Oryctolagus cuniculus: one gene and its partners. The protein of the gene in region 5 interacts with the protein of the main gene of each other region in a pairwise test. Links are inferred from orthologs where the notes say so. Each region holds a gene or a part of one and is shown on either strand. Other genes may lie near its edges. The genes, in order: MYO9A, CDC42EP1, PLEKHG4, ARHGDIA, CDC42 and PAK3.

Region 1 (3,449 bases), on a different chromosome or scaffold from region 5:
GGGGAGGGCGGTGGAAGGCGGGGCCTTCTGCAGCCTCAGCCGAGTCTGCGCTGGCCATCAGCCTCTTCCTCCAAACCCAGCCTGCGAGGGAAAAGCGGCTGAAGGAGGCAGTGCTGAGCCCTCGCAGGCGCGGTGCGAGGTGGGACGTGGCTGCCGGCACGGAATGAGGCGTGAAGAAAGCTTCCTGGGAAACCTCTCAGCTCTGCACCCCCCTCAGGACCCCTTCTCCAGCTCACAAGTGCTGGGGACGGGAGCACCTTGTTAGTGCCAGTGAGAAGGCGCGGCCTCCAGGACTGGGATGGCCCACGTGGCAAGCTCCCCACCCCCCCCTGCAGGGCTGAGTGTCCTGGGTGTTTCCCAGCCCCGAGAGGCAACGTGATTTACATGGCACTAAGTACTCTGCAGACTGACCATGGCTCACCTCCCTGAAGCCTGCCTGGATTTGCTGCCAGCCTGCTTTCATCTGCGACACACAAACCCTTCTTTTCTTCTGCTACGTTTCCCACAATACATACGCAGCGTGGAGAGAGAACAGCTTTGTCAGGAGCAACCAGGGCTGGGGATGCGGCATGTGACGGCCGGGCCCTGAGTCTCTCAGGGTGGGCTACAAGTGTGGGGCTGCCCCCCTGCTGCTGGGAGACCAAAGAAAAGAAGGACTAGGAAGCCACAAACGGGACACGTATCGAGGTCAAAGATCTCAGCCCTAGGAGATCACAACGCAGCGTCACTTTGGGGGGACCTAAGTGACAACTGTTACCACAGGAAACAAGTTCTGGGGTCCCGGGTTCGCTGCACCTGCCACCCACAGGACAGCGGCCTGCTCTCCCTCAGAGGGGGCCCCACCTGCTGGACCCTTCCAGCGCTCTCCCACCTCCCAAATGACTGGAAGTCCACAAATCTACTGGAGAAAACATTAGCTTTTATTTAGTTTTTATCCAAATTCAGGTTTTAGGTCCCTGAGCAAAATTATAAAGTCTCTTAGCATCCATCACCTAGTTCCTATAAAGTGACCTATAGTGTAAGTAGTTTTAACTGCCGAAGCCCACACACATTTTACGAGGGAGGACTGGGTGCCAAGAGGTGTTCTCGGGCCAAAGCAAAGCATCCAGCAAGGGTGAGCCCTCTGTCCACGGTGCTTCAGCAACACTGTGGAGCGAGTGGGGAGTGACAGCGCCGGGCAGCACGTCACTGTCCCCGCAATCTGCCACAGCACAGCTCAGCTGGGGTCCCTCGCAGAGAGGCTTCCCACGCGAGGACTCCCCGGAACACCACGGCAGGACGGCAGGCGTCGGTGGGGCATGAACTCAGCACTGACCCGGTTACCATCACCATCTGGAGACCAGGGGGCTCACCTTGCCCAGGCCCAGCTGGCAGCCGCAGCCAGGAGAGCTGCCACCCAGAGGGGCTCCCAGAACCACCGAGCAGTGGCGAGAGGCTCGGTGCTGGGGCACAGCGGGGTTCTGCCTTAACAGAAGACAGGATTCCCCTAACTTGCAAACAGGCAAGTCGGGAAAGCGGAAAAACCAAAACTCGGGTGAGAGACGGCTCTGGCTCTGGCTGAGCAGTGCGTGTGGTGGTTAGACAGATGCATTTAGTAACTTTACAAATCAACATTTCCATGTACTTATCTCCAGGGTATCATGTTTCATTTTTCATAATCATAAATAGCAAAAAACATGTCCAATCCCACAAACGCTAAGATGCTTACAGCATTATTATGACTGAGGTGTATGGGGACCACCGGCGGTTACCAAGAATGGCCTTACTCCTCCTTCAACCCAGCCACAGCCCCCACCTGCGGGAAGAAAGTCCGTGAGGAAGGAGGGAAGCGCACGGTTAAAAAGAAATATGCATCCTATACACAGATATTTACAGTAAACTTCAGTCACAGAATATTAACAAAAATAGCTTCAAGTCGTCCTGGATTTCTTGTCTCGTCTACTTAATACTGCCGGTCTGAGGAAAGGAAGGCGGAAGTTAGAGGGGTCACATTAAAAACTCAGGGAGATATTTTGGCAGCTTTCTAACATTTGTTCATGCAGTGGTGTGCGTGACTGTTTGGGGACGTGACAGGAGGTCGCAGTCTGTGTGGACCTGTGGTGGGCGGGGCGTGGCTGCAGCTCGGTCTGCACAGAGGTAAAGTGGGGGTCAGGGCAGAAGCTTCCTGTGCTGGGACCCTGGGTCTCTGAGAGGCATCTGACGCTGGCCCAGGGAGCAGGGTGGAACGGGGCTGTCCGGGAGCTGAGCCAGCAGTGCTGGCCACGCCAGCAGCACAGACAACACGTGTGCTCTCATCCTCACGCTCCAACGCCTCATGGACACACTGCATGTTCCTCCAGACTACACCACGGAGTGCTTTTCAAAAAAATCTTAAAATAGAGGGCTTACATATTATGTTTATAAACCTTGGGGAAAAATTAGATACACCCCAGCTCCTAACCATCCCAAAATATACCCAAAGGCTTTGCTTTCATGGTTGACAAAGGTGTCTACATTTTCATCCAATGTCAGAAGTCCGAGGGTCCCTCAGGCTCCGAGAGGGTGGAGGAGAGGAACGCACAGCCAACCCAGGGCCCAGGCTCAGGTGGCTCGCTTTAGTGTGGTCTCAAGTCACGCACAGCAGCCGCGGCCGGCTGGCACTGTTCCCAGCAGGCCTCGAGAGGCCTTCCCCTTTGTACAAGAGGTCGCAGCCAGGTGCTCGGGCAAGAGGCGGGGCTGCACGCAGGAGGGACTGCCGTGGATGCGCTGACAGGACACACGGCCACCAGGTCACACCATGAACTCGTGGTTTCCAAAGAGCGCTACCTGTGGTGTGGAGCTGCCGTCGGGGTCCCCAGGCTTCCTGCGCCCCTCTGGGGTCTCTTTGGTTTTCTGAGGTGAGTTTTTCACATTCTTCAACTTTTGTTTGCCCTTTTCAGGGTTGAAAGTGCCTCTGCTGATGAACTGAGGCCTGTCTTCCAGGGATCTGCTCGGGCCCGGCGCTCCTTCCAGGGCCTCTCCGGCGGGGGCAGCTCGGTAGAAGGGAGATTTGGAATAAATCTGAAACCGCTTTCTGGTCCCATGAGATGATGCGGTGGTGGACGGACAGGAAGGGGCCGAGCAGTCCGCTGAAGCCACAGAGGCCGGCTGCTTCCTGAGCGGCTTTCGCGACTTGCCTGAAGGGTCGAGCTTGCCGGAGGCCTTCAGGGAGCTAAGGGCGGAGCTTCTCTCTGAAGAAAAAAGACACCAGTGCTGTACCAGTCCCCTCCGAGGACACCAGCACTGGGCGACGCTTCCCTCTAAAGCAAATCATCGTGTCTGTTCACACAGCAGATGGACTGGCTGGGCCAGGATTTACAGGGCTCAGACGGACCGGCTTGGTGCAGGTGTCCCTGAGCAAACAGCCCACCACCCACTGCTGCAGGCACCACTTCAGAACTGGCGCCAAGGAAGTCTGGCGTTTGACAGTG
Region 2 (4,646 bases), on a different chromosome or scaffold from region 5:
AGGCCTGCAGGAAGGACTTTATCACGGTTTGTCAACCAACGTAGGAACAAGTTTTGGGAAAAAGCTTGCTGGGGCCGAAAGCCGACCGTGCCCCCTCTCCCCCGCCCCGGCCTTCTCCCAGGGTCTCTTGGTTCTGCCCCTCGGTGCTTCCTAGGACGTCCTGGGCTGAGGGCGCCCTGGTGGCCACGGCCAGAGAGGGCAGAGCCCACTCTGGGTCACGTGGCGACAGCTGGTCGCAACTTGAACTCAGAGCCTGGGACACACCAAGGCCCCCAGCCAGCCTGGCTCATCCACGTGGCCAGGCCCGGATCCCCGCCAACTCCCTCACAGGGGAGCTCTGTGATAAGCTTTGAGCCAACAGGTCACCCTCCCGGCGAGCGAGCGGTGACCGCAGGCGGGGACGCTGTGTCCCGCTGGGTGACCCTGGGCAGGTCACTCACCTCCACCAGCCAGGGACAAGGACACCTACCCTGGAGCCTCAACCTTTTTTTTTTTTTCTTTAAGAAATTACTTCCACCTCTTGCAGCATAAAAATCTGCCCTTTGACTGTTATTTGAAATTCAAAATAGGTTAAGGAACAAGATAACAACAAAAGAGGCACCGGACAAAGCTTGCTTTGTCCCCCACTGCTGCTCGCCCGTCCCACCACCCGCTGGCTCCTCCCCCTGGGGGGCCTCTTGAATCATCCTCCCCCTGGCACCCCAGGCACCGCCGTGTCCTCGTGGAATGTGGCTGAGGTCACCAAGCGCTCTGCACTTGGCCAGCGGTGCCATGATGTCACCTCGCTCCCCAGCAGCCCTGCGGCCCATTCCAAGGTCACGTGGCAGGTACCTGGTGGGGGCTTGGCCCTGTGGCCACACCCACCTCACCCTCACCCCAACTCCAGGCTTCTCAAGGCAGCCCCTCCCCTCCCAGCAAAAGGGGCTCCAGCTCCACGCAACCCCCAAGCACGGCCTCCTCCCAGCCTCCCAGGTGCCTCTGGACACCTCCCAAGGGTCACCCCCACCGCCCCACCCAGCCGAGTGCAGCAGAGGCCCGGGCACCGCATCACAGATGGGTCCCCTCCAGGGCAGCCGTAAGGAGAGATGATGTTCTCAGCAAGCCCTTAGATCCTGGGGCAGGGCAGCTCTGGGTTCAAATCCTACACCTCATTGTGGAGACCCTTGGGGGTAGCTGACCACAAGGGCGCCGCTGGCCATCGGGGTGCCCCACCGGCACAGAAGGAAGCTGGGCTCTGGGGGTCCTAGGGAAGGGCTCTCCTACCCTCCCCAGCGCAGGAATTCTACCTGTGAATGGTCGCAGCACCCATTTTGCAGGTGAGAAAAACGAGGCTCAGAATGGAGCCTGATTTACCCTGGGTCACGCCTGGCGCGCCTGGGCGCCAACATCGACAGTAAATGCCCCAGGGCTGGGGTGGAGTCTGCGGGGGAGGGGGCACAGGTGGTGGAGGCGCAGGTGCCCAGCACCCGGAGGGCGGGAGCCTGTGTCTCTGCAGCTCAGTGCCTGCGTCGTGGCCAGCGCGGTCGCCACGCAGTCACCGTGTGCCCGGGTCCTTCCACTCACCCTGCAGGACAGTCAGGGGCTGGGCCAGGTATAAGGCCAGCAAGTGCAGGAGCCTGGCGGGGGGCGGCACCAGAGAGGCCAACAGGGGCCGCTGTGGAGGCCTAGGGACGATCTGAGCCCTGGGGAGGTGGTGGCCCCACAGCCCAGTTGTCACCCAGAGGTCACCGGCACGCGGCTGTGTCCTGAGCAGTGCCACGTCTCACCCCAGAGGCCACCGCTAGTGTGCACAAGGCTGCAGGCGCCCGGCGGGGTGACACCCTCCCCGCAGGACAGCAGGCCCCCCAAACCTGCTATGACCTCAGGGGGAGGGGGTTAACTCCTTTTCAAGCCCCTCTGAGCCAAGCCGCTTGGGGGGGGCAGGGCAGCTGCGGCCAGAGAGGGGGGCAGTCAGTTCTCCTGCCCCAAGGTGGAGGAAGAGGGAGCCCAGAGAGACCGGGGAGGCGCGAAGGGGGCCTGCGCCACCAACCACCCGAAGTCAGAGCTGGGTCTCGGGTCCCAGCGCCTCTCTGATCCTCAGCCTGCCCGTCCGGAAAATGGGCTTCCAACTTGGCGGGTCTCTCACAGTTGGGGCCAGGGCACAGCCGGCTGGGACCCGGCCAAGAGTGAGGTCCGGGAAAGACTTTCGCCCTAAACATTCGCTCTGGAGGACCGGAGGACCGGAGGACCAGGGAAGGCAGGGGGCGGAGGGGCGCTCCGCGGGGAAGGGGCCGGCCGGCTGTCGTGGCCGGAGGGGAACCGGCCGGAATGACCTCATCCGCGGCTCCAGCCTGGAATGCGGCGGCGGCTGGGGAGGGGGCAGGGTGCCTGGTCTACGCCGGCCCCCCCTCCACTTCCCGCTCCGGCGTCGGCCCGCACCGCGGGGCCCCACGTCCCGCCCGTCGCCCCCTCCGAGCCCCTACGCAGGAAGCAGCGCAGACGGCCTGGGCTCGGCGCCTCTGCCCGCAGGAGCGCTCCCCGCGCCGCCGCCGCCCGGGACTTTGCCAAACAGCCCGAAAACTCGGAGCGTGCCTGCCCGCGCCGCGACGCTCCGGGCCTTCCTGTTGGCACCGCGCGCTTCCCGCGGGCCCAGACCCTCCCCGGCCCGGCCCCCCGAGGTCGCCGAAGGGTGTGGAGTTCCCGGGGGTTGCCGCGGACCCCGACCCGCGTCGGCGCCCAGTGGGCCGTCGGCGATTACCTGGTCTCGGCGAGTCCCGGGGCGGGCGCACTCGTGGGCCGCGGTGGCTGCGCGTCCCGGCGCGCAGCCCGAGAGAGTCGCCGGGCCGGTCTGCACCGCCCTGGCCGCGGGCTCGGCGGGCTGGATCCGGGGGCGGGGGCGGGGTGTGGGCGCGCGGCCTCCCCGCCCTCCCTCCCGTCCCCTCCCCTCAGCCCGCGGGCGGGGCCGGCCCCCTCCCCGGCCCCGTCCCGGGCGCTGTCCACACCGCGAGAGCTGCAGGGGCGCGGCGGGGGGCGCTGGGCCAGGCTTCTGCCGGCCTGGGGCAGGGCGAGCAGGGAATGTGCGAGCTACCCTGGGGAGGCGAGCCGGGCGACAGGGCTGGGGGGGCTCCGCGCCAGTGCGTTCCCAACAGCTCCCCGCGCAGCCTCGGGGCCTTGGGCCTGGTCATCTCGCCCCGGGTCCCCTCCGAATGCTCCCCGCGAGACTTTGGGCACCGAGGAGGCGTGGTCCAGATCCTTGAAGGCCCGGGAGACCTGCGTGGACATGGAGTTTTGCAATGGAGGGCAGCCGGCCCCCTTGCGCCAGCCCGCCAATGCTTCCCACCCCCCTGCAGGCTCTGTGGGTGGCAGCGTGGCCAGACCTGGCCACACACGCTGCCCCCACCGCTCCCAGAGTGCTGCAGTGTGGGACTCGGGGTCATGGAGTCTGGAGCCTGGGGCCACTGCTCTATAGCTTCCGTGCCTCAATTTCCCCAACTTAACAGTGGGACAGTCACAGCAGGCATCGAGCATTCTCTGCCTCTGTCAGCACCCAGACGACTTGCAGAACAGGTAATGAGGCCACGCCTCACATGGCTTTGCCTAGGGCTCCTGGCCCCCAGTCCCCAGAGGGGACAAGGCCTCCCAGAGCCCTGTACCATCTTCAAAAAGGGGATGCAGATGGGTGACTCCTGCCTTGCGTGGCTGTGCCGGCCTCTGGTCTCCACGAGGGGTCACTGCCCAGAGAAGCCCCTACCAGCAGCCGGGGTGGGGGCTCCCACAGGTGACACCTGTGTTAAGTGCTAAAGGCAGCGGCGCGCACCCCTGGCAGGAGCCGGCACAGCACGGCCTTGGTGCCAAGGCTTCCGTTGGAGAGGGCAGGTGTGGTGGCAGGAAATTGTACGCGTGCTGCCCTGGCTGGGCCAGGGCTGTATTTACACACAGGTGAAGGAGACAAGGTCCCTACTGTCCCCAGAGGCCACGCCTCCTCATGCTGGCCACCGCGGGAGGGGCTGGTTTTCCCAGCTGGACAGGGAGGGAGACCGAGGCACATGGCATTCATTCCAGCTTCTGGGCGGGCGGTGCAGCAGGTCATTCTGGCTCTTTCCCTGGAGATGGACTCCTGGCGGGTTTTGCCCCGTGGAGAACTGCGGGAAGGAGGCCCTGAGGAACACAGGTGAGCAGGAAGGGGACTGCTCCCGAGAAGGAGGGACGGGGCAGGGGGGAGGCGGCGCTGGCCGGTGGCTGCCCATCCCCCCCCTCCCCCCGCACCCAAAGCAGGGGTGGGAGGCAGCAGGCAGCGGCGGCGGCAGGTGCATTTTAGAAGCTGAGAGCAAGGACAGGCCTGGGAGGGCAGTGCTGGAGCCGCTGCAGCTCTTGCCACGGCCAGCGCTCGTGACAGCCAGCACACATTGAACGCCTGAGGTGCACATGCCAGGTCTCCAGCCCCTGCATGTGTGATCACCACAGCCCCTCAGGAGCGACTTCCGCAAAGCCCTCCGCTGTGGCAGGCTGCCCACTCCTCCTAGGTTGCCTAGGACCGTGCCCGGATAACCAGCAGTACTGGCGCCCTGGGTGGATGGTAAGACACACGGCACTGCAGTCAGAGGGGCCCGGAGCAGCTGGAAATGTCACAGACATGGAGCACTGGGGTGGGCGTGGGGGGCACAGCA
Region 3 (4,809 bases), on a different chromosome or scaffold from region 5:
CCATCAGGGGCCACCTCCTCCACCCGGGCTGAGGGGCCTCCTACTGCTCCGCTCGGGCTGAGCCCCGGCCCAGCCGCAGCCATCTGTCCTGGGGATAACTGAGGCTCCCCGCACAAGGGGCTGCCCTGTGGCCCTCTGCCCTGGGCTGCTCCCACTGTGGGGCTTGGGGGCTTGGGGTCCTCCTCCCGGGTATCCCTGAAACTGCACACCGTAAACTGCCGGTCGGTGGCATGACTCCGGGGCTCTGGGGACTCACTTCCATCCTCCAGGGGCCCTTCCATCACCCTCCGTAAGGGTGGGGCTGCTCAGGACAAGCGGGGGCTGGGCTGAACCGCGGTGTGGAGGCCCCAGCTCATTCAGGAACCGGGACGGCGGTCTGGTAGGACTCGGCGAGCACAGGCAGTAGGAGATGTTTGGCTTGGTGCCAGCCCACCCGAGGACCTGGGGAGGAGAAAGCACGTCAGGGGTTTCCTGTGCTGTCCAGCCCGCGTCGCGCTCCCAGGAGCCTTTGCCCGGCGGGCCCCACCCTCGGACGCGCCCCCACGGCCACACTAAGCCGGTCGGACGCCCGTGGGTGCGCGTGGCGATGCCTCGTGCTGCCTCATGGCCGGCCCAGCCTGGCCTTGGCCCTTGCGCGGGACCGGAGCGTGCCTTCTCACGCCCCCCGGGGACGCGCCGCGGGAAACCCAGGAGCTCGAGTGGCGGCGCAAGCGGGGCCTCGAACGAACCGACAGCAGCCCCGACGGCGGCGACAGCGTGAGCGCGCGGCGTCCCAGGGCGCCGCCTCCAGGCCACGGGCGAGAGAAGGCCAGGCCGCCAAGGACGCCGCGCCGCCCCCTGGGGGCCGGAGGACGGCACTACAGCCCACCTCGCGGGTCCCGACGGCAGACGGCGCCTGGCAGCGGGCGCCGACCCCTGGCAGCGTCTCCTGCTCGCCACACTCCAACCGCGGGCCGCGCGGCTCGCTCCACCCTGCCCTGCCGCGGGCTCGGCGCGCCCCGCGCTCGGCGTTTCGGCGTCTCGGGCCCCTTGGTGCCCAGGGTGAGTGGCGTGGGGAGCCCGCAGGTGGGTGGTCGCGGAGCTGGCCTGGGCGGGGGCGTCTGCTCACGCTAGGGGGCGGAGGGGAGGCAGAGGGGCGCTGCCTTGTCCTCACTGCCTCAGCAAAAGGAGACCACTCACTCCTCACAGCCCTCAAGGCATGCCCAAAGAGGGGGAAAATGTGAACCCCTGGAGACTCCATAAGCCCAGCCGGCTGCTTGGGGCTGCTGGGGACCAACGGGGAATCCTCCCGGGGGCTGGAAGTGAGGGGCCCTGTATTGCAGCCCCACCTTCCTTTAAGTCCGCAGACCCAGGCGCTGAGAGACAACCCCCTGGGAAAGGGCTGCTCTTCAGGCTGGAGGATGGGTGGGGGGTGGTGAGGGCTCTGTGGTGGGAGCTGACCCAGGCCTGCCAGGCCCAGACCCTCCACCCCTTTGCCCCCTTGCCACGCCTTTCTGCCCTCCCCCACAAAGTCCAGTAAGGCTGGGATCCTGGAGCCAGTGGACTGGCCCAGGCCCGGCTCCTCCACTTACCTGCTGCCAGGTTCCAGGTACTCTTCTCTCTGAGCCTCACCTGTAAAGAAAAATGTCATTCCTCTCTCCTGGGGTTGCCGTGAGGACTAGGGAGACCCCAGATGTCACACTCCCGCTCAGTGTTCCTGCCCTGCCTCCTCTCTCACCCTTAGCCAGGCCATCCTGAACTGGGGAAAGTCCCTTGGAAAGCGGGGAGAGCCCTCCCAGCTCTGACGTTCGGGGTCCCTCTGGGACGTGTGGGCCTGGCCTGCCTTTCCCCCCAGATTTGTGGGGGAGATTGTGAGGAGATGGGACGTGTGACGAGGAGAAGGTGCTGAGTCCCACAGCACGCCCAGACCCCTGGTCCCCGGGCAGGGGGAGAATGGGTGGACTGGCTTCCCTCTTCTAAGGTGGGAGAGTGTTCCTTGTGGACCTGAGCATCAGGAGTAGGTACAGTGGGAAAACAGCAGCCTCCCACCCAGCCCAGCCCCCAGAATCCAGACTCCCACTACCAAGGAGCCTTCTTCATGGCCCGGTTTGGCTTTGAGAGAGGAACCTCAGAGCTGCCCTGCTCCGTCCCCAACCCCTAGCCAGACCTCCCTCCCCACCTCCTCTAGCTTCAGTGAGCACTGGGTCCAGTGCTCCCTCCCCAGCTCTGTCCCAGGGCCGCCCTCACTGAGTCACCAGCTCCTGCTCCCTCCCTCCCCTTCTGCTGCTGCTACCTCTGCCCATTAGCACCCCCACCCCCGCCCGCCCAGGCACACTTACATGAGCTGGGCTAGACCTGCTGCCGGGCACATAGTCCTCCCGATGCCAGAGGCAAAGAGGCCTCAAGCCACAGGCCCTAGCAGACCCTGGCACCTGTGGGCACAGCGGACAGGTTCGGGGACACACTGAGGGGCAGGGCTTAGCCCTGGTTTCTCCACTCCTCATAGAATGTGCATTGTAAGCGTCACGGAAACAGATTACATGTTGTCCACTTCTGTCCTTCCAGCACGTGGCCTGGCGCGGAATAAACGCTCGGGGGTGCCTGAGATGCGTCACAGCACCCCTGCCTTCCTGAGGCTCCGCATCTGTGAGTCGACAGAAGCCAGAGTCACAAGAAGAGAGGCAGATTCAGAGGCCGTGCCTGAAAGGAAGCTGGAGAAGATGCAGAGAGCCACCCAGTGCACAGCCCAGGACGGCAAAGGTACACACAGAAACGGGGACAGACAGGCCGAGGGGAGAACCCTGGGGGGCTGGGCCTGGAGCCAGCCCGGGGCGGTTGACCACAGCAGGCTGTATGGGCTGAGCTTGCAGGACCAAGCAGTGACTCACGAAGCCCATCTCTGTGGCTCTGCTGGCAGCAGAGTCTGCCCTCAGCAGCCTTTTCCACTGAGCTCATAAAACGGGGATGGACTTTGTTCCCATGCCCCTTCCCCACCCTCCCCCAACCTCCCATTCCTTGTCAACATAAACCCAGGCAAAAAATAAAATGGGAGCTGTGGGCCTGCTGATGAGACCCACTGTCATTCCCCTGACTCTGCCCAAAACCTTGCACTCCCCTCTTCAGGACTGCCCCCAACAGGGGGAAAGTGTGGGAAAGGTATGGAGAAGGCCAGAGGGGCTGAAGTCCTGCCTCGTATCTGCTCTCTGTTCTCCGTCCCAGGAGCCCTGGGCCAGGCGGTTGGAAGTTTCCACTTACTCACAAGATGCCCTTGGCACTCCCGCCCCTGGAGCCCACAGACACACGCACACAGGACACCTGTCCATCTGAGAGATGTTTAATGGATGTTAGGCTCAAGGTACAAAACACAAGGCAGGTGCTAACCCCAGGAAAATCACCTGCCACTAGTCAGCCCCCCATTACCACTGCAGCCAGGCATCCCAGCCCCCAGGGCAGTGGAGCAGCGGCCCTGGGAGGCCTGGTTCCTCCCCTGTTTGGGGAAAGCGGAGGTGGTGACACGGGAGCCCAGAGGCCATAGCATCCCCTCCTCAGAAAACCCAGACCCAAGCATCGGGAAAGTCCAGATTGGACTCAGAGCAGCTGATCCCCGGAGGGACCCTGGCTGAGAAGCACCCCTGAACTGAAGCCTGGCCTGTTCCCCTGGCCTTGAACTACTGCCCTGATACCTGGCAGCACAGGGAAGAGCTGAAGCAAGAAGTGGAGGCAGAGAGTTCCACTGCCCTGAAAAAACTGACCGGGTGCCTGACCCTACAGGGCAGTCAGACCCAATACTGAGGCCTGCTCTACCTCCCACCCCAACGCCATGGAGGGCAGGCAGGCCAGCATCTGCTGAGGAGTGATGCCTTTGTTTTGGGTCAAGAGCAGCTGCCTACAGTAACCCCAGGAAGACCCACTGGGGAAGGGCTATCAGCTACCCAAGTCTCTGGACCTAGCCCTTAGAAATTCTGGACTGGGTCCTGAGCCAGGGTAGGTACCTTACTGAAATGGAAGTTGGCAGGGGTTAGGAGCAGGGAGGATGGTGATAAGGGTCCCTGTGAGGACCAGCCCAGGAAACCCTTTTGACCAGCCCCAAGGAGACCCAGTTGCTACTTCAGCCCAGGCCCCTCTGGTCCCATGTCAGGCTGCCCATTGCGCTGAGAACACTACACCTCCTGTTCCTCCCCCAGACCCTGCGCTACAGCCGGCCCCCTTTGTTGAACTGGATGCACCAGTGGGAGTTAGCCGTGCCCGGGCTGAGATGAGTCTGGTCCTTGTGGCCCATGAGGGGCTGCAGCTCCTGCTGCTGGGGGATGTCAGCACTGCTCTCACTGCGGGAGCGGCCAGCCTTGGCCAGGCTGGGGGGAAAGGCAAAGCCAGGGCGGGGATCAGAAAGCAGGTCGAGAGCGGCCCGGGGCTCTTCAGCACCCAGGGGCCGGGGCGGCAGGCGGGTCAGAGTTGGGGCCTGGGTACAGGGAGGGGATGCCAGGCTCTCCAGGGATGAGATGCTCTGGTTCCAGCCCGTCTGCATGTCCACGGGCACAATCTTGGTGGTTTCTGAGGACACATACACCGCCTGGTCCCCCTGCCCACTCTTCCAGGGCAGCTCCTTCTCTGCACAGGTTGGGGACGGGGGGATGATGCGTGGGCTTGGACACACCTCAAAGCTTCCTGGGGACAGAGAATACACACAAGCTTGTTACCAGTGCAGTGCGATCTTTTCGAGTAAAGACACATTCTCATAAGTAAATTCACCCCACAGTTGCCATCAGACATGCATTTGTGATTGTTTGATGAGTGCCTTGCTAAGGGGAAGTGCCACGACTGGTTTTGTTC
Region 4 (4,470 bases), on a different chromosome or scaffold from region 5:
TCCATTTTTTTTTTTTTTTTTTTTTTTTTTTTTTTGAAAATCAGAGTTAGAGGAGAGGTAGAGAGAGAGGTCTTGACCATCCGCTGGTTCACTCCCCAGTTGGCCCCAACAGCTGGAGCTGCGCTGATCCAAAGCCGGGAGCCAGGAGCTTCTTCCGGGTCTCCCATGCGGGTGCAGGGGCCCAGCACTTGGGCATCTTCCACTGCTTTCCCAGGCCACAGAGAGAGCTGGATCGGAAGAGGAGCAGCCGGGACTCGAACCAGCCAGAGCCAGACCCGCCCCTGGGTGTGGGGGGGAGCAGGGGAGGCAGTGCGGCCTGGGGGGGGGGGGGCAGTGCGGCCGGGGGCAGTGGCAGTGGCTGGAGATGCTCAGGCCCATTCAGTGTCGGGGCGTCGCCCTGCCGGCCTGCTCCAGGGACCCCTCTGTCCAGGGACCCCTCTGTCCGGCGCTCACGTCCATGGAGCCCCGTCTGCCAGGTCCGCCCAACCCTGCAGGGACGGCAGAGCTGAGGGAACCCCGAGACCTCCAGGGGAGGCGGGAGCAGCCAACCAGCGAGGGCCACGCGCCGGACTCCACCCAGGTCTCCGCCACGGGTGCCAGGGACCCCAGGTCTTGGGCTGTCGCCTGATCTCCCCCAGCCCATTAACAGGAAGCTGGATGGGAAGGGAGCAACCAGGACCGTCCCGAGTGGTGCTCGAGCCACGGTGCCGGTCAGCGCTGCCCCGAACCGGATTCCGGCCGAGGAGCAGCAGATGGGGGCCGCGGTCGAGGCCCCGACAGCTCCGGGGGCTGCACTGGGGGGTCCCGTGCCAGCCCCAGCCAGGGCGCCGAGGGGCTCGCCGACGCCTGCAGCAGCTGTCGGCGGGGCGGGCCAAGCCCCTCGCGTCTCCCGCGCGGGAGGCCTGGACCGTGCACCTGGGGAGTGAACCGGCGGGGGCAAGATCTGACCTCTCTAACTCGGCCTTTCAAATAAATAAATATTAAAGAAAGAAAAGGACAAGCTTCAGGCTCTAGTCCACCCCGGGGGTCCTGACGACGCCCCCCCCCGCTCTGCCGCTGCAGTGGGCAGCTGTGTCCCCCCGCCTGGCGACCCACAGGGCCGACCGCGGGGCCTCGCAGTGGCTGGCGCGGGAGGCGTCCTGGTCCCTCGGGCGCCCACCTCGAGGACCACGCCGCCCAGCGGGAAGCGCCCACGAGGCCCGGCCCGCAAGATGGCGCCCGCAGCGCACGCGCCCTGGCCGCAGCGCTCCCGCCGCGCATGCGCAGCCCCGCCGGCCCGCCCGCCGAGAGCGGAAGTCGCGTTGACCCCGGAAGTGACAGGCGGGCGGGCGGACGGACGGGCGGGGCGGCGGACGACGTTCGTCATCTGCTGCGGGAGGGAGCGCGAGAGCTACGCGGTCGAGCCCTCCGGTGAGTGGCCCCTGCGGGGCCGAGCGCCGCGCGGGTGGGCAGCGGGTCGGGCGCGCCGGCGGCGGCCGCGGCGCGGGGGAGGAGCCGCCTTTGTCCCGCCCGCCCCGCCCTGCGCCCGCGGCGGGTCTCGGCGGGGCGGGGGCTGACAGCGGCGGCCGGCGCGGGGCGGGCCCGGGCGGGGCGGCGGCCCCACGTGCGGAGGGGCCGCGGGCGTGGGCGGGGGGCCGCCCGGGCCCCGCGCGCGCTCCGGCGGCCCTGCGTGCAGGGGGCCGGGCCCGAAGCCCCCTCCCGGGGGCCGCGGGCGCTGCCGCCCCGGCCCCGCCCCGCCCGTCGCCCGGATTGCGGGCCCTGCGGAAGTGCGGGCCCCGCCCTGGCTGTAGCCCGCGGCCGCCGCTGCCGGCCCGGTTTGTGCGCGGGGCGTTGTGCGTGCGCTGCGCTCTGACCGCCTCCAGCCCCGCCCGGAGCGAGCCGGTGGGTGCTCAGGGTTCCGGGGCGCGCAGGGCGCTGCAGCCCCTCCCGGATCTCGGGTCCGAGCCCCTCGGCGTGGGGTGGCCCTCGTGCCCCGACGCGCGGGCGCCAGGAGAGGCCTTGCGGGCGAGGGCGGCCGCGGGACGCGGGAGGGCCGTGGTGGGGGAGGCGGCTGCCGGCGGCCACAGCCCTGCGCGCCCACAGGTGTGCAGGCAGCGAGCGGCGAGCATGGCTGAGCAGGAGCCCACGGCCGAGCAGCTGGCGCAGATCGCGGCGGAGAACGAGGAGGACGAGCACTCGGTCAACTACAAGCCGCCGGCGCAGAAGAGCATCCAGGAGATCCAGGAGCTGGACAAGGACGACGAGAGCCTGCGCAAGTACAAGGAGGCCCTGCTGGGCCGCGTGGCCGTGTCCGCGGGTGAGTGGGTGTGGCCGCGGGGCACCTGTCCGCCCTCGCCTGCCCCGGCGGCCGCGGCGGGCGGGGGTCTCACCGGCCGGCTCTCCCCAGACCCCAGCGTGCCGAACGTCGTCGTGACCCGCCTGACCCTGGTGTGCAGCACGGCCCCGGGCCCCCTGGAGCTGGACCTGACCGGTGAGTGGGCGCCCGCGGCCCTGGGTGGGGCTGGCTGCCACCCTGTTGCTTCCGCTAAGTGATGTGGTGCGGGGCTGCCCCCTGGCGGGCCCTGGCGGAAGTGCGCTCGTGTGCTCCCCGCACAGGAGACCTGGAGAGCTTCAAGAAGCAGTCGTTCGTGCTGAAGGAGGGCGTGGAGTACCGGATAAAGATCTCCTTCCGGGTAGGCCGGGCGCGCCGCGGGGGCGTGGGCCCGCTGACCCCGCTGACCCCGCTGACCCCCGCTGTGGCGCCCGCAGGTGAACCGAGAGATCGTGTCCGGCATGAAGTACATCCAGCACACCTACAGGAAAGGCGTCAAGAGTGAGTGCGCGTGGCCACGCCCCGCGTCTGGCCACGCCCCCGGGAGCGAATGGGGGCAGACCTGGGGAGGGGGCAGGAGTGGCCACGCCCCGTGGGAAAGGGTCTGGAGGGACGCCTGAGGCCACGCCCAGTCTGGTCACGCCCTCGGGAAGGGCGGGGCGCCGAGGCCACGCCCCGCGCCGCTGACCGCGCCCCGCGCCCCGCAGTCGACAAGACCGACTACATGGTGGGCAGCTACGGGCCGCGGGCCGAGGAGTACGAGTTCCTGACGCCCATGGAGGAGGCGCCCAAGGGCATGCTGGCGCGCGGCAGCTACAACATCAGGTCCCGCTTCACGGACGACGACAAGACGGACCACCTGTCCTGGGAGTGGAACCTCACCATCAAGAAGGAGTGGAAGGACTGAGCCCCCCCACCGAAGTGCTGACAGGGCCCCCGCGGCCCTCCCCCCTTGGCCCTCCTGCGCCCACAGGCCCCGCCCGCGGTGGTCTGCCGTTGCTGCTTCTGCCTGTGCTGCCGGGGGAGGCCCGGCCCGAGTCTCCCTGCCCGCTGTGTTCCCCAGGTCCCCCCCCACCGCCACGCCCGCGGCCCTGGCCCTTAGGAGGGAGCGGGGCGGCCGCGCGGGAGCTGGGGTGCGTGAGGCAGCCCCATCCACTCCCCGGCCAGTTCATCTGTCGCTCAGTACCGTCTAACCATGATGCCTTAACGTGTGGAATGCGTCCCGGGAGCTGCCATTCACTCCCCGTGTCTGCCCCGCCCACCGCCCCCGCGACAGGGGAGGGGCGCCAGTGCCGCCTCCCTGCCCCCCAGCCCCCTGGCCTGGCCAGCCGACCCCTGTCCCCCGGCCGCTGGGGCGGGCCACGTTGCCAAACGCCAGGCACTTCTGTCCCGTGGGGGGGGGGCAGGCGTCCCACACCTCCGCCTGCCCTGTCCCAGCGGCCAGCACTGACCCCTCCCCCGCAGAGCCCCCGGCAGACGGTGCGGCCGAGCCTTCCTGCTCTCCGGGCCGCAGTATTTATTGCCTCTGTTCGTGCCGTCCTGGGCCCTCCCGGACCCTGCAGGACAAACCTGGGACCAAGTGCACACCGCTGGGGGCCGTCCCCGTGCCTCCCCCCAGTCTCCGTGTGGCGTCTGCCGGGCTCGGCCTCCACAGCCGCAGGAGCCCCCGCTTCTCCTCCCCCAATTGGGAAATAAACTGCCCCGAGGACCCGCGTCTGCTCGGCCCTCTTTGGGGTGGGCGGTGACCACGGCGCGGGAAACCATGGGACACTTGGGGCAGAAGTCTGCCCAGGGGCCCTACACGATGGGGTCCAGCCTCTGGCCCTGTTAGCCCAGGGGATGGACCCGGGGCTGGGTGCAGGCAGGGGAGACCACAGCCAGGGCCCTGCAGGGGCCCAAGGAGGAAGTGGATGGGGGGGGGAGAGGGTTCCTGCCCCCAGGCGTACAGGGGCGGGGGGGGGGGGCTGGCAGCAGCCCAGGCACCTGGAGAGACCCGTGGCCATTGAGGTTGCTCTCACCTGCTGTGCCTGCAGGGCTGGCGTGGCCGGGGCACCCACTTTCTCTGACCACACACCTGTGCCAGGGTGGCTTCCCCAAGGGCCGCCCCGTGAGGCGCTGTCCAGCAGCACCACAGGCTCAGGCCCTGTGCTGGGGGCCAA
Region 5 (4,627 bases):
TGCTATACTGTCCAAATAGATAAGATTTTCAGTCCAGTAAGATTTCCCAAGTGCTGGCAGCTGCAGAAGATCCTGGCCTGAACAGATGAGCAAGGTCAGGTAAATGGAGGTCCCCTATCATCGGTCCGATATGCCCAGTTATGGAGCTGACTGACAAAGCACAAAGCCACCTCAGGAGACATCACACAAAGGCCTATGGGATATGCAGGTGGGAAAAGGTTCCCCAGACATCATCAAGTTCATTCAGCTGACAAACATTTCTTGAAGCCTGCAGTGTGGCCGGCAGCACTCTAGAGCTGGGGATACAGCAGTGCCCGGGCCAGGCCAGAGCTCTGCCCTCAGGGAACTTAACTGGACAAGAAATGTATCTGGAAGACAACGGTGGACAAGGCTTTATCACAGAAGCCTGGAATGGGGCCCTTACCAACCTGGGCTACAGAGATCCATTTATGGGAGATAAAGGGACACAATGTTAACCCCTTCCTCTCAGGGGAGGGGTCATCACCTGTTCCTCATCCTCTCAACAAGAGAGACCTGCACTAAAAATCTATCTAGGCCAGCGCCACGGCTCAATAGGCTAATCCTCCGCCAGCAGCGCTGGCACACCGGGTTCTAGTCCCAGTCGGGGCACCGAACTCTGTCCCAGTCGCTCCTCTTCCTGCCCAGCTCTCTGCTGTGGCCCAGGAGTGCAGTGGAGGATGGTCCAGGTCCTTGGGCCTTGCACCCGTGTGGGAGACCAGAAGCACCTGGCTCCTGGCTCCTGATCAGCGCGGTGCGCTGGCCGCAGCGCCCCAACCGCAGCGGCCATTGAGGGGTGAACCAACGGAAAAGGAAGACCTTTGTCTCTCTCTCTCTCACTGTCCACTCTGTCAAAAAAAAAATCTATCTATAAATAAAAATACAACTGACTTCTACGTCTAAGCAAGCCTAACACCGCTCACCAGACATGCACGCAGACTGCACCTCAGTGCTTTCCTAACTTGACAGCTCCTGGATGAAAATATCTAATTACTCTAACCACTTCAAAAACAACCAGATCAAAAAACGCCAAGTGGAAAAGGAGACTAATAAAGAGAAACCATCCTTGCAGTGAGAGAAAGCTCCGGACCCTCTCGGCCTCTAAGCCTCCACCTACTCTAGGCCGTATATAGACCCGGCGTAACCAGGCACGTGTCGGCCACAGCAGGCGAGCATTTTCAGGCAACAGTGGGTGTGATACCTTCCAAGTAGTGGACAAGTAACTGCAAAAAGAGCTCATCTGTCATACTCAGTTATCAATCTCTTATCTCCTCAAGTCTAAAAACTTAAACTACCCTGGTACATTTCTAAAGAAAAGATACAAATTTATGTACACGAGGAAAGTTCTCAAATATTGACTCACGAAGTTCAGCAAGAGGCGAGTGTCACAACTGTGCGTTTCTCAAAAGAAAGCCCACCGAGGCTCCCAGCGCATTCAGAAGACCCCCCACCCCGCACCTGGCCAGCTCCACGGCCATCCGCGTCCTGACGCCCACACCACAGAAAGCTCAGGTGAACCCGTCACCCCTTAAGCAATCCATTCATCCGCACAAACGAGACGGGCTGGGAAAGACCTGTTCCGACACGAGCTACCTCCCCGCAGCGCCTACCACAGCTGGAGCAGCTGTGCCGGGCAGTGATCTCTCTGTGCGCTGCGCCTGGCACTCAGGGGAGACGGCCGCGGGACACCTCAAGGGGGACCCATCACAAAGTCGCTAGCAGTAAGTACTGTTTTGGTTCAAAATCCAAAATTAATTTTAATGATAAAGTGTCCAGCAAGCAACGACTGGGTGTAAAAACAGGTTTTCAACATATCCCTGCACGAGTCCACGTGGGTGGGTCCTCCGCCCCCAAGAAGTCCGCCATGGGGGGCGGTGGGGGGTCACAGAGCCTGGGGCAAAGGATCCCCCGGGCCCGGCCCGCTCCAGCAGAGCACGGTCCGCGCGGCGGGGCAGGTGCTCCTGAGACCTTAAACCTCCCCTTTCGGGCGGCGGCAGGAGCTCACCAGCACCTCCGCGCGGGAGCGTGGCAGGGCGGCCGGGGGCACCCACCCGGGACCGCCCGAGGCCCCGCGCGCCGCCGCCCTCTGCGGGGCCCCGGCTTGGAGGAGTGAAAGCGCTCGCCCCTCCGACGGCGATGACGTCATCGTCCACACCGCGTTTCCCCCGGACTTCAAGGGGAGGAAAAAAACAAATGAACAAAGAAAATGTCCCCCCACCCCGCCCCGGTCAGACGACCCCGCAGGCGGCCCCAGGACGGCTCCGCGCGGCGCTCCGGGACCGGCCCGCAAGGGAGGGCGCGACGGCGGGGGAGAGGGCGACGGCGGCTCGGGGGCACCGGGAGGGCGGCGGAGGCCGGCTCAGACCCGCCCCGGGCCGCGAGGCGCAGGCCCAGCCTTGGGCAGTGGGCGAGCTGCCCGCCCTGCCCGCGGCCACGGCCCCGCCGAGGTCGCAATTCCGCTCCCCTCCCCCGCCCGCCGCAAAATGTCCGCGGCGGCGCGCGGCGAAGCAGGAAGTGGAAGCCCGAGCGCGGTGGGCAGCACCCAGCCCTGCCACTCCGGGGCCCGGCGCCTGCCCGCCCGGGCGCCCGCGAGCGGCTCCACGGCCCCCGGCCCGGGACCAGGGCCCCGCCGCCCGCGCGCGGCCGACCGCGGGGACCGACCGCGGGGGAGGGGAGCCGGCGGCCGGGATGGGTGTGACCCCTTCCTTCCGCCGCTGCCCGGTGACAGCCCGGCCCCGCCCGCGCGCTCGGCCCGGCTCCCCGACCCCGGCCCAGCCCGGCTCCGCGACCCCGAGCCCCCCGCCCTCCCCGCCACAAGCCCCTGCCCGCGGCTCCCCCCACAGAACCCGGCCCGGGCGCCTCCGGAGGGCGCAGCGCGAGCCGCGCACTGCCCCGCGCTCCGCGCTCGCGGGCTCCCCGCGGTGCCTGAGCCAGGCTGCCCCCGACGACGGGGACAAGCAGGGCGCGGCGCGGCGGGGACGGGACCGCGGGGAAGCCGCATCCGCGGGGAGTCTCGGGCCCCGCACTCACCTCAGCTTCTCCACCGGGGCGTTGGCAGCACTGCGCGGGGTCTCCTCCGCTGCCGGACAGGGGCACGCACCTGACGTCAGCACGCAGGAGACGCACGGTTGGGTGCCTGCGGAAGTGGGAGGGACGGGGAGGGAGCAGAGGCGTGGGCGGTCCCGGGCGGTGCCTGCTCGCCCTGGCCCCGCCCGCGCCTCGCGCACGCGCAGTCTGGTGCGTCCGTTTGGGCTGTGCTCTGCACGGCTCTTTCCCGTGGTTGTGCTGGCGAGGATGCTGTGAGCTGCGGTGTTCCGAGCGCTTCCGCTGGCGAGTCTTCGGGGCTTTGCAACCTTGTGAAGCAAAGTATTCTCCCTGTTTTCGCAGAGAAAAGGAAACTTCTCCACGAGGGCCTGCGCGAGGTCACCCTGCCAGCCTGGGTCAGGGAGCTGCAGGCTGCTTTACTCTGTCTACACCGCGGTGTCCCTGCTGCAGCCTCCTGGGCCTCCCCGTGCCTCCCCACCACGGGCCTTGCGCCTCCTGCTTGCCCCTCTCGCCCAGGCCTTTGGGTGGCTCGCAGCCCTCAGGTGTTGCCGCTGCCCTGGGCCATCCTGCTGTCACCGCCCCTGCTCCTCTGCTCCCTTCTGGTGCGCGAGCCTCGGGAGAACAGGGCGCTCCTCGGTTATTCTCAGATGTCCCCCAGTGCTGGAGAAACATCGCTGATCTCAGGAAGGATTCCCTTACTGACCCACCAAGGCAGAGGCGTGATTCTGGTAGATCAGTAGGCGTGCTTTCTTTTGCGTTGTCTATGCATGAAGACGACACTTAGAGGGTCTGCTGTAGGCCTGGTGCTGAAGCTTTGCCTGTAGTAGTAGCTAACTGAAAGCACCCAGGATGGCTTCATGGCATAACAGGTTAAGCCACTAGCTGAGATCCACTGGCTCCAGTTCCCGCTGTTCTGCTTCCAACCCAGAGCCTTCTAATGCACCTGGGGAGGTGCAGAGGATGGCTCAAATGCTTGGGCTGCCGCCACCCGTGTTGGAAACCCAGATGTGTTTCCAGGCTCCTGGCTTCCCCATGTGAACCAGCGGATGGAAGATCTGTCTCTCCTTCTGTACACATCACTTTGCCTTTCACATAAATAAATCTTAAAGAAAACACAAAGCCACCCTAGGATATAAGAACTGTTACCCAACCCAAGTCCCATTTATGATGCCTAGACTGAAGTTCAAGCCTGTTAAGGGACTTGCCTGTGGTCACCAAGACTGGCTGTGGCAGCGCTGGGCTTCGGCTCAGGCGGCTGCCTGTAGTTGGCCACCAGGGTTTCCCAGCACAGGGAAGGCTGAGTATCGAGACCAGCAGACGGGAGCCAGCGAGTGGCAGCAGGTTCAGCCACCGCTTACCCTGCTCCTCCTTACTGCAGATCCAGAGTCCCGCCAGTGTCCCGGGAGGCGGCAGATGATGATCCAAGTACTTGGGTTTCTACCACCCAGGTGGGAGATCCCCGTGGAGCTCCGTGCTCCTGGCTGTGGCTGTTGCAAGCATTTGGGGTGTGAACCCGCAGATGGAAGATATTGCTCTCTGTCATTCTGCCCATCAAATAAATAAG
Region 6 (4,485 bases), on a different chromosome or scaffold from region 5:
CACCTCCCGTACACAGGGTCCCGCTGGCCCCCGAGGACGGCTATTTTGATTTTTTTTTTTTTCAGGAGGGGCATTTCAATTCACCTTAGCAAACCCATGTAAAATTAAAGCCATCAATCTGCCTAGGCCAGAGTCACGGGTCTCCCACTCCCATTTGGGGCTCTGCCCTCCACCAGCTCATCTCCTTATCCAGGAGGAAGTGGCTGCACATCAAGTTGCTTTTCTTTCCCTTGCTTAGGCCAGTGGGAAGGCTATGGATTCCCTCAACAGCTAGTTCTCATTCTTGGCCCAACCACAGCTGCCTCAATCATCAAAATGTGCTCATCTCATCAGGGAAATCAGGGCTTTGGGCTTTATGGGAAGATGATGGCTTTACATACATGTCTCTCTGGCTTTTCTTGTCCCTACTGCAACTTATCCTACCTACCCCATCTGATCCCACTTACTCCATATGATTTCTAAATTTGATTTTTTTTGGGGGGGCTTTGACCTCATTAGTAACTTCGCCTCTGACCTTGTATTACAATCTCTGATGGCACCGCCTCCCCATCCCTGCATTTATTCCTCATCCCCCTCACCTGTCACAGCAACAACCCACCTTCCCCCAAGACCTCAGCAAACATGTTTGCTCTGTAAACTACTTGGATCTATGACCAGGAAATTCTGTACCATACAGGGATGGTCAGCTGGTGACTATGTTCCTAGGATGTTATGCTCCCTTGCCTGTATTCCCATTGCACAGGAGTCTCCTGTCTCTGTTCAGGTCTCTCCTCCAAGGTCTACTTGCTTGTCCGAAGGCCTGGAGGATATGCTCCTTGACATCCTCAAGGTCTTGCTGGCCTTGGGATTCTCAGCTGTCGACTTTTACCCAGCATACCTCCCAGTGTCTTTGCATCTTGCTTCTTGCATGAAAATGGAGGGGTCTGATATTTGGGGTCCAGAAACCGAGGTTTATGTGGCTGTCTCCAAGCCCCAACCAATTTACCACCCATTACCATATTCAGCCCTTTTGCCCAAAGATGCCCCTGACTGGGCAATTCAAGTACCAGATCACGGATCCTGCCCAATTATGACGTTGCAAATAGCCTAGTGAAAACCGCACTGACCTTTATACCATGCTCATCCCAGAACTGGGCCACAGTGTTTTCACCAACAGGAATGGGCCTCCTTCTGTTCCAACACCTCAGTCATCCAGTTGGCCTGGATTTGAGTCTGCAAAACCATGAGGGGAGCAAGACTAACATGGCTAAAGTCTTCCCTGCTGAAAGCCATTTAAAAACAAATTGCAGTACAACCGCCCCCATCATGCTTCCCAAAGCCAAGCCACTCACCCTTCTCTCCTTCTCTTCTACAGACCACAGTCCAGAACCCTCAAGTCCAGAATCTGGAACTGGATTCTGGAAGGTGGGTTTGGGGGGTGGGGAGTGAAAGACAAGTGGGCCCTGTGGCTCCCTCCTCAGGAAAACTATCCTCCCCATGGATACTGCCACTTCACCCCTTAAACAACACAGAGGGAAGAGAAAACTGTCAGAGTCAGAATCGAAAATGTTCAGTTGGCCCCGAAGTGCGGCAGCAATCTTGTCAGAGCCAGTTCAGAAACTGAGGGGGGCGGTGGAGATAGTGCACCCAATGACCTCGCTCCCCAGACAAAGACAGAGGAGGCCAACGGAGGGACCCTTGGTTTCTAGGGCCATTTATTGCATCACTTCAGTTCCCACAGGAGAAAAAAAAAGAGTCCTCATGTCATTACCATCCCCCCACCAAAAAAAAGGGGGATAGGGATAAAGAAAAATAAAAGCTAGGGGCAAAGGCACGCGTTTCAAAAAATCGTCACTTTTTCTGTTCTGTTGGCTCCAGTAGGGCTCTTCAGCCGTGGACTTGGCTGGAGCGCGGCCACACCCCCTCCCCTTCCCGGGGATGGGGGGTGGCTGCTGTCACGGCTACTGTGGCTGGGGAGGGGGTGCGGGAAGAAGGTAAAGACTTACAGGCTGACGTAGCTTTCAGAGCTGATTCTGCCTCAAGCGGCCCAGGCCCCATTAAGCGAGTCTAGGGTTTGCCCAAGCGAAGAAGCCCAGGCCCTCCGGGAACGGCCCGGACACACCCACTTGTCCGCGTTCACGAACCAGGATCATGCAAAGTGCGCTCTTGGTCTCAGGGCTCCCGGGGAGCCATGTAGGAGACTCGAGGCGAGGGCTCCGCGGTAGCGTGAGGGGGCCTGGCAAGGCAGAACATCTGCCCAGCATTTTCGCAGAGGCGCCAGCCGTCCCCCCTCCCCCGAACCAGCCCGGGAGCCGGGACTCGCGAGATTTACCTGCCACGGTTCAGCCACCCCGTCAAGACCTTTCCTCTACCTCCGAGCGCTCCTGCAGCCGGGGCTGGGGAGCCGCAGCCCCGCGGCCGCAGCCGCAGCCCCGGGCCCAGCCCGCTCAGCCCGGCTCTAATCCCACCCCCGCACACTGGCTCCAGGCAGGGAGAAGCTGCGGCCCCGCGGTGCGCGATCCCAGGCTGCTCGCGGCCACAGCTGCCCGCCCGCGGTAGGGCTCCTGCTCGGCAACCGCTCCCTAGCCCTTGTCTGCTATGACGTCACCCGGGCTCTGCACCGTACCTAGGCCAATCAGATGGTGAGCATAAAACTAAAATCGCCCTGAGTGGGCTACTGGGGACCAATCTTTTGTTTCCAGGCAGGAAGCGCCTGGGAGGGGGGAAAACTGAAGGGGAGGGGAAAGGAGAGGGAAGGGGAAAGGAGATGGAAACTTCTACACAGTCAGGGTTGTCTAGACGGAGGTGGGGCCGTCAAGAATGAGGAGCACGGGACTAGAGAAGGGGTGGGGGCATTTATGTGTTTTCCTTAACTGCCCCCTTAGGAAGACTGGGCTCTCTGATAAATTTTCAGAGCAGGAAATCTATCCAGCTACAGGGGCATACTTGCTAAGGGGGAAATGGTTTGGATTTGGGACACCACCTGTCAGGCAAGCAGGTGACGTTGGTGGAGTCTCTAGAGTGCACAGAAAACTCCAAGAAGCAGACTCAGCAGTGGGGTTCAGAGAAGGCAAATCTGCATAGGGAAGATGCTATTCTGCACAGGAAACGCAGCACGTTTCAAAACAGAGCATTACACAAAAACAAACCAAAAAAAAAAGAATTAATCTGTGCATACTTTGATGAACGTGATTGTATACACCTTATGTATGCTTTTTTTTTTTTTCACTAAAACGGGATTCTCCATGTCCATCCTTTCCCCCCAAATCTTCAATGGCTTCTCTTCTTTTTAGGGCACAGTTCAAATGTATTTTAGAATTTTTTAGAAAAAAATAGTATTGCCCAAAAGCCTTCTAAAATATCAAATCATCCTTTGCTACTTCAAAATCCATACTCCCCAGGATTTGGCTATATTATGTAAATTGTGGTAAATCCCTGGAAGGAAAGAGTAGATTGTCATTAAAGAAAAAAGTTAAGTAAAACAAAGAGTAAGCCATTCAGATTATAACAGTGTAAAATATGCCTTCAGAAAATAATCATAAAATTGCTTCAATCAGTAAGACTATGGATGATTTTCCTCTCCACTTTGAAACTTTAATAAAGACAAATATATCCTCACATACTTGAATGGTCAAAATGGGTAATGACCCTTCCTCATGCACTTTTATTCAATTTTCTCAACACTACGTAGCATCCAGCAATCATTTCTCTGTCATGCCAGCAAAACAAATTCCAAGACCAAGAGTGAAATAAAATATCTGCCCAGAGATCTTTAAGAAAAGTCTTATAATAGATCCCCAGATCCACCAAAAAAGAACATCCCAGGCAAATGAAGAATGGGATGCTTCCCTTGGACTAATTCATTTTAAATTCTGATGATACAGAGAACTGAAAAAAAGAGCAATGGCCAGGGCTGGCATTATGGCACAGCGGGTTAGGCCATGGCTTGTGATACTGCCATCCCATATGGGCACCGGCTTGAGTCACAGCTGTTCCACTTCCAGTCCAGTTCCCTACTAATGTGCCTGGGAAAGTAGTGGAAGATGGCCCAAGTGCTTGGGACCCTGTCACCCACATGGGAGACCCAGATGGAGTTCCAGGCTCCTTGTGGCCATTTGTGGAGTGAATCAGTAGATGCGACATCTCTCTTTCTCTCTCTCTCTTTCTCTCATGCTGCCTTTCAAATAAATAAATAAATCTTTTTAGAAACCCAACTCGATCTGTGACAAAACAGGAAAGAGAGAGGCAAAGACTAAGTGAACTGATATAATCTAGACTGTTTTTAATGGGTCAATTAGCACATTTTATTTTCCTTAATTAAAATATATATTTATGCATACATAAGTATTACATAAACATTGTAGAAAGTGGCAGAGATGGGATTTGTATCTAAGTCTCCCTAAGTCCAAAGCCCATGTTTTTTCTAACATGACACCATATATTCCTGCTAAGAATCAAATATGGTTCTACGCTACTGATTTTGTTAAAACACTTACAAGAGACAGC

What was found.
Region 1: the proteins of CDC42 (region 5) and MYO9A interact in a two-hybrid assay, tested with the Homo sapiens proteins (3 studies listed by BioGRID and IntAct). The link is inferred for Oryctolagus cuniculus from reciprocal best matches to the Homo sapiens genes CDC42 and MYO9A.
Region 2: the proteins of CDC42 (region 5) and CDC42EP1 interact in binary tests that used the Homo sapiens proteins (3 or more experiments, as listed by UniProt). The link is inferred for Oryctolagus cuniculus from reciprocal best matches to the Homo sapiens genes CDC42 and CDC42EP1.
Region 3: the proteins of CDC42 (region 5) and PLEKHG4 interact in a two-hybrid assay, tested with the Homo sapiens proteins (2 studies listed by BioGRID and IntAct, with this or other methods). The link is inferred for Oryctolagus cuniculus from reciprocal best matches to the Homo sapiens genes CDC42 and PLEKHG4.
Region 4: the proteins of CDC42 (region 5) and ARHGDIA interact in binary tests that used the Homo sapiens proteins (3 or more experiments, as listed by UniProt). The link is inferred for Oryctolagus cuniculus from reciprocal best matches to the Homo sapiens genes CDC42 and ARHGDIA.
Region 6: the proteins of CDC42 (region 5) and PAK3 interact in a two-hybrid assay, tested with the Homo sapiens proteins (2 studies listed by BioGRID and IntAct). The link is inferred for Oryctolagus cuniculus from reciprocal best matches to the Homo sapiens genes CDC42 and PAK3.

Annotation. Positions count from the first base shown.
Region 1 is NC_091443.1:111,243,534-111,246,982, reverse strand, and holds the end of MYO9A (unconventional myosin-IXa), read right to left. Parts: exon of another isoform or gene 3,210-3,449; coding exon 2,770-3,209; 3' UTR 903-2,769; downstream 1-902. UniProt on the Homo sapiens protein: Myosins are actin-based motor molecules with ATPase activity. Unconventional myosins serve in intracellular movements. Regulates Rho by stimulating it's GTPase activity in neurons.
Region 2 is NC_091442.1:114,476,537-114,481,182, reverse strand, and holds the start of CDC42EP1 (cdc42 effector protein 1), read right to left. Parts: upstream 2,893-4,646; 5' UTR 2,738-2,892; intron 1-2,737. UniProt on the Homo sapiens protein: Probably involved in the organization of the actin cytoskeleton. Induced membrane extensions in fibroblasts.
Region 3 is NC_091449.1:50,553,701-50,558,509, reverse strand, and holds the start of PLEKHG4 (puratrophin-1), read right to left. Parts: upstream 3,145-4,809; 5' UTR 2,319-3,144; intron 1,612-2,318; 5' UTR 1,572-1,611; intron 442-1,571; 5' UTR 282-441; coding exon 1-281. Other genes in the region: SLC9A5 (sodium/hydrogen exchanger 5), read right to left, coding at 4,172-4,644. UniProt on the Homo sapiens protein: Possible role in intracellular signaling and cytoskeleton dynamics at the Golgi.
Region 4 is NC_091448.1:1,032,239-1,036,708, forward strand, and holds ARHGDIA (rho GDP-dissociation inhibitor 1), read left to right. Parts: upstream 1-1,277; 5' UTR 1,278-1,410; intron 1,411-1,750; exon of another isoform or gene 1,751-1,881; intron 1,882-2,082; 5' UTR 2,083-2,106; coding exon 2,107-2,296; intron 2,297-2,386; coding exon 2,387-2,470; intron 2,471-2,595; coding exon 2,596-2,672; intron 2,673-2,748; coding exon 2,749-2,812; intron 2,813-3,018; coding exon 3,019-3,218; 3' UTR 3,219-4,019; downstream 4,020-4,470. UniProt on the Homo sapiens protein: Controls Rho proteins homeostasis. Regulates the GDP/GTP exchange reaction of the Rho proteins by inhibiting the dissociation of GDP from them, and the subsequent binding of GTP to them.
Region 5 is NC_091438.1:148,727,118-148,731,744, forward strand, and holds the start of CDC42 (cell division control protein 42 homolog), read right to left. Parts: upstream 3,172-4,627; 5' UTR 3,049-3,171; intron 1-3,048. UniProt on the Homo sapiens protein: Plasma membrane-associated small GTPase which cycles between an active GTP-bound and an inactive GDP-bound state. In active state binds to a variety of effector proteins to regulate cellular responses. Involved in epithelial cell polarization processes.
Region 6 is NC_091453.1:82,428,196-82,432,680, forward strand, and holds the start of PAK3 (serine/threonine-protein kinase PAK 3), read right to left. Parts: upstream 3,142-4,485; 5' UTR 2,312-3,141; intron 1,498-2,311; exon of another isoform or gene 1,332-1,497; intron 1,213-1,331; 5' UTR 1,107-1,212; intron 1-1,106. UniProt on the Homo sapiens protein: Serine/threonine protein kinase that plays a role in a variety of different signaling pathways including cytoskeleton regulation, cell migration, or cell cycle regulation.